Linked DNA regions of Neurospora crassa OR74A. The protein of the gene in region 1 binds, or shares a complex with, the protein of each later gene. Links are inferred from orthologs where the notes say so. Each region holds a gene or a part of one and is shown on either strand. Other genes may lie near its edges.

What was found.
Region 2: the proteins of NCU10397 (region 1) and cse-1 are in contact, whole or in part, in an NMR structure (PDB 2JU0), measured with the Saccharomyces cerevisiae proteins. The link is inferred for Neurospora crassa OR74A from reciprocal best matches to the Saccharomyces cerevisiae genes PIK1 and FRQ1. Residues at the interface, in NP_014132.1 of Saccharomyces cerevisiae: Ser122, Tyr123, Gly124, Phe125, Val127, Ala128, Val131, Asn134, Leu135, Gln136, Asn138, Asn141, Thr142, Ser143, Lys151, Glu154, Asn155, Val156, Ala157, Pro158, Ala159, Leu160, Val161, Ser163, Ser164, Met165, Met167, Ser168, Ile170; in NP_010661.3 of Saccharomyces cerevisiae: Trp30, Gly33, Phe34, Arg36, Asp37, Ile51, Tyr52, Phe55, Phe56, Phe64, Phe72, Phe85, Leu89, Thr92, Ser93, Arg94, Lys100, Leu107, Tyr108, Met132, Ser134, Met135, Glu142, Arg148, Lys151, Leu155, Asp176.

Annotation. Positions count from the first base shown.
Region 1 is NC_026503.1:1,284,526-1,289,075, reverse strand, and holds the start of NCU10397 (phosphatidylinositol 4-kinase PIK1a), read right to left. Parts: upstream 3,052-4,550; 5' UTR 2,621-3,051; coding exon 2,541-2,620; intron 2,386-2,540; coding exon 2,199-2,385; intron 2,128-2,198; coding exon 1-2,127. Other genes in the region: NCU10675 (methionine permease), read right to left, coding at 3,715-4,515. UniProt on the Saccharomyces cerevisiae protein: Acts on phosphatidylinositol (PI) in the first committed step in the production of the second messenger inositol 1,4,5,-trisphosphate. PIK1 is part of a nuclear phosphoinositide cycle and could control cytokinesis through the actin cytoskeleton.
Region 2 is NC_026504.1:3,562,233-3,566,542, forward strand, and holds cse-1 (neuronal calcium sensor 1), read right to left. Parts: upstream 2,889-4,310; 5' UTR 2,399-2,888; coding exon 2,388-2,398; intron 2,078-2,387; coding exon 1,992-2,077; intron 1,798-1,991; coding exon 1,502-1,797; intron 1,414-1,501; coding exon 1,234-1,413; 3' UTR 296-1,233; downstream 1-295.

The DNA.
Region 1 (4,550 bases):
CCTAGGGTTTTGACCGGACTCGACCGTGGCCAGTGTCAAGCTGCGCTTGATGGAGTGCAGCGACACGCCGTTGGCAATGGTCTCTATCAGACCGCACGACTCGCCCGTAACAAGAATGCGCATGAGCTTCACCCAGACGGGCACGTTGTGCTCTACCCAGATCTTGTGGCACACGCGGATCAGCTGGCAGGCGAATGCCTCCTGACGGAGATCCGCACCCGTTTTGACAATGACGCTGACGAGATCCCAGTTCTTCATCCAGCCGTAAGGAGAGGACTTGCGGATACGCTCCTTCTTCATCTCCCAAGCTTCTCCGAAGACGGCAGCGCTGGGATCATCACGATCGCCCTTGCGCTGGAGACCGCCTGTCTTGATATCGTTTTCCATCCTTGCTAGACCGGCGTTTGGATTCACGTTAGACTCGACCTTCTCCAGGGGAGCCTCGATTTCTTCGTCCGTGGCGACATTGCCGTTGATAACGTTTTCTGCACTGGCCTTGGCCATAATCATGTCGAAGGTCGGCCCTTGGCTATCATGGACTTCAAAACTCTCCTCCTCCAGACTCTGCATGCTGGCAATAATCTTTGCCCTGATTGCGGCCACTTCATGACGCGGCCGCTTGCCACTTGTTGCATCCAACTGCGCCAACATTTGCGAGGCTGTCCGCATATGGATGGCAAGGGCAGAGAAATCAGGTTGGTCGGCGGCCGCGTTGTTGCGCGGACTTTGGAGGGTCATCCTCCTGAAAGGTGGGGTAGAGGATCCCGAAGTGCCAGAACTGCGAGGCGTTGACGTCAGATCAACAAATTGTGTCGAGCTGGTCCCAGTAGTGGCAGCATGGCGGAGACCGCCAGGAACGGGGTTATGCTGTATGGCAAAGGGCTCGTCGTTGAACGGTTTTATTAGTGGCGAGTGCCCTAGATCCCCCGAGGAAGGCTCAAAAACACTATCGATGACGGGCTCCTGTGAACGGGGTGTGGCTGGTATCCTAGAAGACTCGGAAAGGTCAAAAATCCGCCTCCTGGTTCCTTGTTCGACCAAAAGCTGTGTCAGAAGTCTCTGATTATCTTGAGAATCCGGGTCAAATGTGAGATCTTCTCTCAAAATCTCAACCATAAGCAGGAAAGGCACTTTCTCAGCACTGTTCAGTACCGTGGCCTCAGCCGGGTTGAGACGGACTATCCTGTGATGTCGGCTCTGCGAAGGAGAGCCGTTGACCAAAGTAGGAGGGCAGATGACTGGGATATCGACCTCGGCCGGGAGTTCTTGAGCGATTAGAGCCAGCTCAGCGCGTAGGGCACTTAGGCGTGCAGCCTTTGGTACTATTACTAGTCGGTTTGAAATATCCTCTAGTGCGGTCAGGAATGCTGTTTGGCAGTGGAAGTAGTTTTGTTTTAGTAGCCGCATCTTTTGTGTGCGGCTCATGTCCGCTTGGTTCAAGAGCGTCTTGACATGGTGCGAGTGCCTCCTGTTCACTCCAGTCGTTGGCCGCAGGGCCGGAGTGGTCGGCCTGTGTACAAGACCTGGAGAATTGGCATTCGACGTTGGTAGAGGCAGTGAAGATGAACTAAGGCGCGCCTCCAAGACGTTGGAATCGAAAGGAGTAGGTCGCTTGGTCTCTACCGGCGTTTTGATAGAAGACCCCGAAGACGTCGGCCGGGAGTCAGGCTGAGGTTCCTTGATCTTGGGCTTGGGGCGATGCGCCACCGGGCTGCTGTTGTTGCTCTGGAGCTGATGGTCCGATGAGCTTGTAAGGCGGGCCTCCTTTGCCCGTCTCGATTTTGTTGTACCAGCAGTGACGGTATGCGCGCGAGCAGGTGGGGCGGCGTTGACGGGAGTAGCGTCCAACACAGGTTCGATGACTTGAGGGCGGGGCTTTCTGGCTTGCGCGACGGCAAGCGGGCCAGCCCAATGGGGGAGAAACGGGGCGGCGATACTGGCGAGAACGAAGCTCCCTAGGACAGTCACTGGCAAAGCGTTTTCCGTAATCTTCTCGTTCCTTGCACTGTCGGAGACGCCAAAGACGATATGCTGCACCTTGTTGTACACTCTCTGGCATATTTTGAAGGCATTGGCCTGTGGATTAGCGGATAGGTCGTGTAGGTATGTTTGGAAGAGCCAGAATGTCTGCGAGCGGGCGAGATATCAGCAATTCGGAGTCGTGCAAAGCGTCAGATGGTGTATAGAGGGCTGCGCACCAACAAGGCTGCTGTGACCGACTCCTCGCACAGGTCGAGGAGAAACTCCTCCAGGGCCATGGACTCATTGTCGATGCTGATGATAAGGTGACAGAGCTGAGGGAGGAAGAACTCGATGTCCTCGTAGGGGAACTGGCGCAGCTTGCTGCACAGCACATAGTGAATTCCTATGTGGTCGGCATATCGTCTGGCGGTGCGGTCATGTTAGTGTGTGTCTTGCCAGGCCAGTACTGATACGCGCCGCGCCGAGTGAGGAGGAGAGAAAGAGGAGGAGGAGGAGGAGGGGGAGGAGGAGGAGGAGGAGGGGTAGCGAATCTTGGCAAAACGGAATGGCTGACTGACGAGAGGTAGGAGACGGAGAGAAAGGGGTTTTGGTTGAAGACGTCGCTCTCGAGGAACCGCTTTAACAAGTCCCAAGACATTGGTTATGGCGCAACGAGGGTCGACCGCAGATCGACTCGGGGATTATGGGAGGAAAGAGTCAATGTCGGGCTGGCGAGGCTGAAGTGGTGAAGCGAGGCGTAGGCGTAGGTGGGAGAATCGAGCAGCTAGGTAGGTACACTCAGTCTAGACGGAAGCTAACTTGGAACTGGAGCTGGCTGGCTGGCTGGCTGGAGAATGGACGGATACAGAGGGCAGCAAGGCATGCATGCGCAAGCAATGCCTTCATCGGACTTGAACATGAACGGAGTCGACGGCGTAGGGCTGCTGGAGCATGGCTGACGGGGCCGGGCGCGCTTAGGTCGTTACTCGTTATGGTGTTGACAAGTGAGACTGAAATGTGGTGGTGGTGGTGGTGGTGGTAGAGGTAGTATTCCCAAGAAGGACACCAAAACCACTTCCTCTCGCTCGCCAGGGTGCCCGGGTGGTGTCAAGTGGTGTTCCGAAGGTGGAGGTTGGCCGTCACTGCTGTCAGGGGGGGGGGGGGGGGGCCGCAGTCCACTGAAAGGAATAATTGTTCGATACAACAACACCCGCTCGCACGGCACATTGAACGGGACCTATCCGCTAAGCCCGATGGAGCCCCGCGTCCCGTTCCCCACCTGGCCGACTTGTCCGCCTCGGCTGCAGTGTGTCCGTCCACAGCGCCTTTCCTTTGCCCTGCTACAGGCACTTGGCGTCTGCCAACGACCGCTGAAACAGTGTTCCCATCCGCTCTTGTTTCGTCTTGGCGGTTGGGATTCCCATCAACATGACACCCCAAATCATATCAATGGTCCATCTCGTATTGGGGATTCATGGAAGTGAACACGAAGATCTAACCCACCGGCATGTTGATCAGACACTTAGTGCTAGTTCCACCGGCCAAAGTAGATCGATCCCAGGGCGCTTGCGCCATCCGAAAAAGGGGCTCTGCTCCAAGGGAAAAAAAGATGAAAAAAAAGGGGTAAAAGGACACAGACTCCATCCAAAGTAAACAAATCCCCTTTTATCTTGTTCCTGAAACGAAGACGCGAATCATTGATCTACTATTCTACGTTGTATCTTCTCTACATCGACAAGTGCACACGTCCTATCACCTCCACACAACAGTCGTCCCTCCTCCTCCTCCTCCTCCTCTCCCCCCTCCCCTCCCCCCATTCCTCCTCCCTCTCGCACCACTCCTACCTCCCCTCGGCCTCACCCTCTTATACTTGACCCTCTCACTCCCATCCGGCAACACCACCACCTCGTGCTGTATAGAGAACCCAAACGCCGGCAACACCTTGGCCCAAACCACCCAATACATGACGCCGATAACCAGCATGCCCGTCCCCAGCGCCGGCACCACCGAAAAGTGAACCTTGGTCAGCAGCGTGTTCGGGATAAACGGCGCCGCACAGGTATACAGCAGCCCGACAACCCAAAACACCGTCAGGACGGGATAACTATGGAACCGCTTGTTCTCCGGCGTCGTCCAGTTCTCGCTCGGCGTAAAGTTGAGATACAGCAGCCCCACCCCCAGGAAGACCTTGATCCAGTTGCCCGAGTAGGTAAAAATGTTGGACAGAAACTGGTACACGTCCTTGGTGCTGGATCCGAGGATCAAGGCCACGGTGAAGATCCAATGCAGCAAAATGGCGCCCGTCGGCGACTTTTGCTCGGGCCAGTCGCTCGCCCAGAAGCGCGAGAAGGGGAGAGTGCCTTCCTTTGCGAGCTCCTGCTTCACACGGGGCATGGCGAAGGATTGCGCAAAGACGTTGCCGAGCGCGGAGAGGGCGAGGAAGAGAGGCATGACGCGCTCGGTGAAGGCCGAGGGACCCCAGACGCGGGTGAAGAAGATGGCGGTGGGGACGACGCCGGATTTGGAGAGTTCGTCTTTGGTCATGGCGGCGAACTGTGTGTTGTCAGTCATGGAAGTTCTTGTGAGAC
Region 2 (4,310 bases), on another chromosome or scaffold:
AGAGATGAAGAACTGCATCAGGAAAGACTAAGAGATAGGTAGGTCAAATGAAGACATAGACGACCATGAATGGGGTAAGCAGAGAAATCATTGCATCACGCATTTGAACGAAAACGGGGGGGGCTTGAATATAGAAAAAGAAAATAACAAAATACGAAAAAAAAAAAATTTAAAAAAATTTACTGTCATTGATATTATATCCCAGAACGGGTTGATCTTGGCGAGCAAGATGACGATGATGTCACTTGTTGGAGTGTTGGCGGTGTTGACTTACAACTAATAGTAATAAAAGATAACCTCCGTTCATGACAAACCTGGCGGTAGGGGAGAGTACGCGGGAATTAGAGAAAGATTACAGTCAACAGCCCGGTTATCACATCATGAAGGGCTCGAAACGGATGAAACATTGAAAAAAAATTGCTAAACCCTCAAAAGAAAAAAAAAAAACCAAGCCTAAAAGTATCCACACACACGACGCGTAAGAGGTAACTTCTGAGTCAAGGTCGTCCATTGTTGCAATTGACCAAGCCGTAGTAGTGTATTCGTTCGTTCCATACCAGCCAGGTAACGCCGTTCATCACGATTTCCTTCTCTTCTTCTTCCTCCTTATTCCGTCTCTATCCCCTCTCACTCCGACTTCCCTTTATGTGCTCTCATGTCCTTCCCCTCTCCCTTCCATCCAATCCGTGTGATCACCAGGTCTGAAATCTCCTCTTTCAAGACCTAAGCCAAGAACAGCACAGCCCCAAAGACCATCACATCCCGGTCGACATCTAGACTAAGAACTGGGCCGAATGGGTGGTACCTAGCGGCGAGGCTCATTTCCGACCACGGAACCATAGATGAGACGCCCCAACAGCATGTGGCCAGCTGTGCTTTCTTCTTATCTTGTCTGATCGATGTATGCGCGCACACTTATCGAGCTGGGCCGAGCCGAGATGGCTGAACCCTCTCTCTTCCCTTCTTTCTCGCAACCATTCCCCTTGTCCATCACGCTTTCCCTGGGATATCTTGCTTCCAAATGAACAACTGATTTCTCTCTTTCTTTTCCACCCTTTATAACTCCAGCTCTGCCTTGTTTCGGGGAGATGAAACTTTGCCTGTTGGCGCTGCAACACACATCAAATCATGCTCCTCCTCTTGGTAAAATTTGCTTCGCCAGACCGTTGCGCGCCGTCCCCCCCTTTGGCTAAACGAAATACCTCGAATGATAATTGATGAAAAGAAACTTGGTTAGACGAGGCCATCGTACAAGGAGAGGGCGGATACGATTGTCTCGTCGCGCTGGCTGCCCTCCTTGAATTCCTTCATGTCGAGGCTGCCGTTTTCGTCCTTGTCCATCATGCGGAAGATCTTGCTGACGCGCTTCTCGGGAGTATCTTCGTCTTCGGGGAGCTTGACCATTGAGCCGACCTGTTTTGAGGGATCAGAATGTTAACGTACAAGATTGCGACGACACGGGAAAGGGCGTAGAGAGATAAGAAAGAAAGGGTAAACCCACCATCTTGTAGATAGCCTCAACGATCTTGAGCATCTCGTCGTAGGTGATCTTGCCATCGCCGTCAATGTCGTACAATTGGAAGGCCCAGTCGAGCTTGTCCTCCATCTTGCCGCGGCTCGTGACGCTCAAGGCGCAGATAAACTCCTTGAAGTCGATGGTGCCAGACTTGTCCGTGTCGAATACGTTAAATACGTAGTCGGCGAATGACGATGGGTCGCCAAAGGGGAAGAACTGTGCGTAGATCTTCTGGAACTCGGCCTTGGTGAGCATGCCGGAGGGGCAATCCTTGAGGAAGCCTGTTTGTGAATGAACTTGTTAGAGGCCGTCTATGAAGCGAAAGATTTGGTTGGCAACGAGGGCGCATAGCAAGCGCTTTCGATGGGGAGACAGCGCCGCATCGGTCAGGGCATGTAATCGTTGGCGGCGACGGCGGCGGTGTTCAAAGGGGTCGTCGGCGATAGGAGAAAGGGGACGGGGATAGGTAACACACCCTTATACCATTGCTGCAACTCCTTCTTGTCAAAGTGGGTGGCCTTTTCCAACTCCTCCAGCTTATCACGCTCGAGCTTGCTCTGCCTGTGTCGGGCGGGGTTCAGTGTCAGCCTCTTCATCTTGCTTTCAGTTTTGGGAGATTGCGCAGAGAAACGACTCCTGCTAAAGAGGCCCATTGTATGATATGTAGAATTGAGTGAAGGACGGGGTAGGTCGACGGTAGAGGAGACTTCAGCAAAACGGATCACGGTCCCTCCTCCACTGCTGAGAAACAGGTGTGCGGTGCGTATTGATGATGATGATGATGATGATGATGGGATGCGGAGAAAGCGGTCGGGTGGTGGGTGCTGATCGGGCAAGAGTCGCGGAGATTTCGGGGGACTTGGTCACTCACGATTTGCCCATTTTCGGATAACTCGGTACTATTTAGCAAATGCTGATGTCGTTCGCAAGGTGGTCCCACGATGCGGCGGTTCGAGGGAAAGGGGTCACTCGGAATGGCGTCGCGTACGGGGTTGGCGCCGAAAGGTCGGAGGAGGGGTTCGGTGACGATCCGTGGGTTTTCTCTCAGGGATACCGTTAACGTTTGTAATTGACTTGGTCGTAGGTAACGAGACGCTGTGTGAAGGGCAAGACGGTGCTCGAGCGATGGGAGCAAGCAGCCTTGTATGGTGGATTTATATTGTCGTCGGCCGATAGGATAGTTCAAGTAGCAGACTCGGTAAGCGGCAATCAGTGAGTGGCCTTGGGGTTGCACCGAAGAGTGAAGAGAAGTAGATAGGAAAAGATGTCGAGGTGTTGGGTTGTAATGGCAAAAAGAAAAAGAAATGGGATCGATGGATGAGCAGGTCTAGAGAGGTATTGGCAGCACAGGAGTGTCAGGGTGCAAGGCGAGAGGCAGGGCAAAATGCGCGGGAGATCGGAGGTGATGACGGCGGCAGTCTGGCGAGATGGGCGACCTTTGATGCAGTGCCCTGGAGCTGCTGCACTAACTGCAGCTAACCACTGTAAGTGCCCTGGCCGTTATTAAAATGTGGAACTAGGGTGACTAGCAGGGGACCATATGTTAGCCAGGAGGTAAGGAACACCCGACCGCTCGAACCTGACGGGAACCTGATCCGCCCGCTCGTTTCGTGCGGCGCCTCACTTCCAGGTTCGACTCCCTCCCATCCATCGATTTGACGCCGGGCCTGGCATGGAGAGGCCAGGCTGTTTCTGACTCGAGTCATCGTCTTTTGCTTGAGAAAGCTGCCTTGTACCTGCTCATGCTGCTGTGGTACACTACTGCCGACGCAGCATCATTTCCATCGATGCGGACTTTTTTCCGAACATTCAGCTTGTTCTCCAGCATGTGTGTTTCAGACTTTACGTGGGGCCCTCACTCCCCTCTCCCAAGGAACTCGGTTGATATTCGCATCCATTTGCAAAGAGGGGCAACGGGCGGGATTTCTAATAACTGGGACAGGGGCTGCACGGCCAAGGAACAAATTCGATCGGGTTCTGGACGTTTGGGTGTAGGTAGGCAGCGCATGCGCCAGCTATCATGCCAGGTTGGCTGGAAAAACTGCTGCTCTCTGATTTGTCGGGCAGGGAGCCCAAGTGACAAGAAGGGCAGGTCTCGAGAGCCCGCGCCGGAGGATGGGAGCGCTGGGAGGTAAACGGAGGCCACCATTCAACCAAACCAACATCAATCGGCAGCCCAGATCCGTACGATGAAGAGATAGGATTGGGGAGGCGACTTCGGAAAAGACACTTTCTGGCAAGATATACTTCAGAGTGATTCTAGCGCCGCCATCCGAACAACATGTACTTCCTCCAGGACTAAACTTTCGAGCCGGAGCCCGGAGGAGTACTTACTACCCATGCCCGGCGGCCGGCTCATCTCACTTTTTGGGGTGACAGTGGAAGTAAATGATATACAAGTAGTTTGCGCTCGATGTCAAACAGCAAACCTCTTGACACCGAATTGCGCAAATTCGACCGCGTTAATGTTCTGTCCATTATATTTAAGCACCATATGTAACCGACGGGCCTGGTACCAACAATTCTCCTTGGTACCATTCTTGAGGCTCTGTCTGCGACACCCAATCATCCTTCGCTTCGAGGAGGCCCAAAGCCCAAAATGAGAAGTCGTTCGCCCCACTTCGTCATAAACGGTCGACCACTTGAATACCTACCAACTTTAATAACACCAAAGATGTAAGGAAGTCTATTGTCGAACATGATTAAAGGTCATTGACATTCTCTCTTCCAAACCCCTCCACCTGATCGGACCTCCACGGCGGTCTGAGAAAAACAGGTTGTTCTTCAGCTCCTT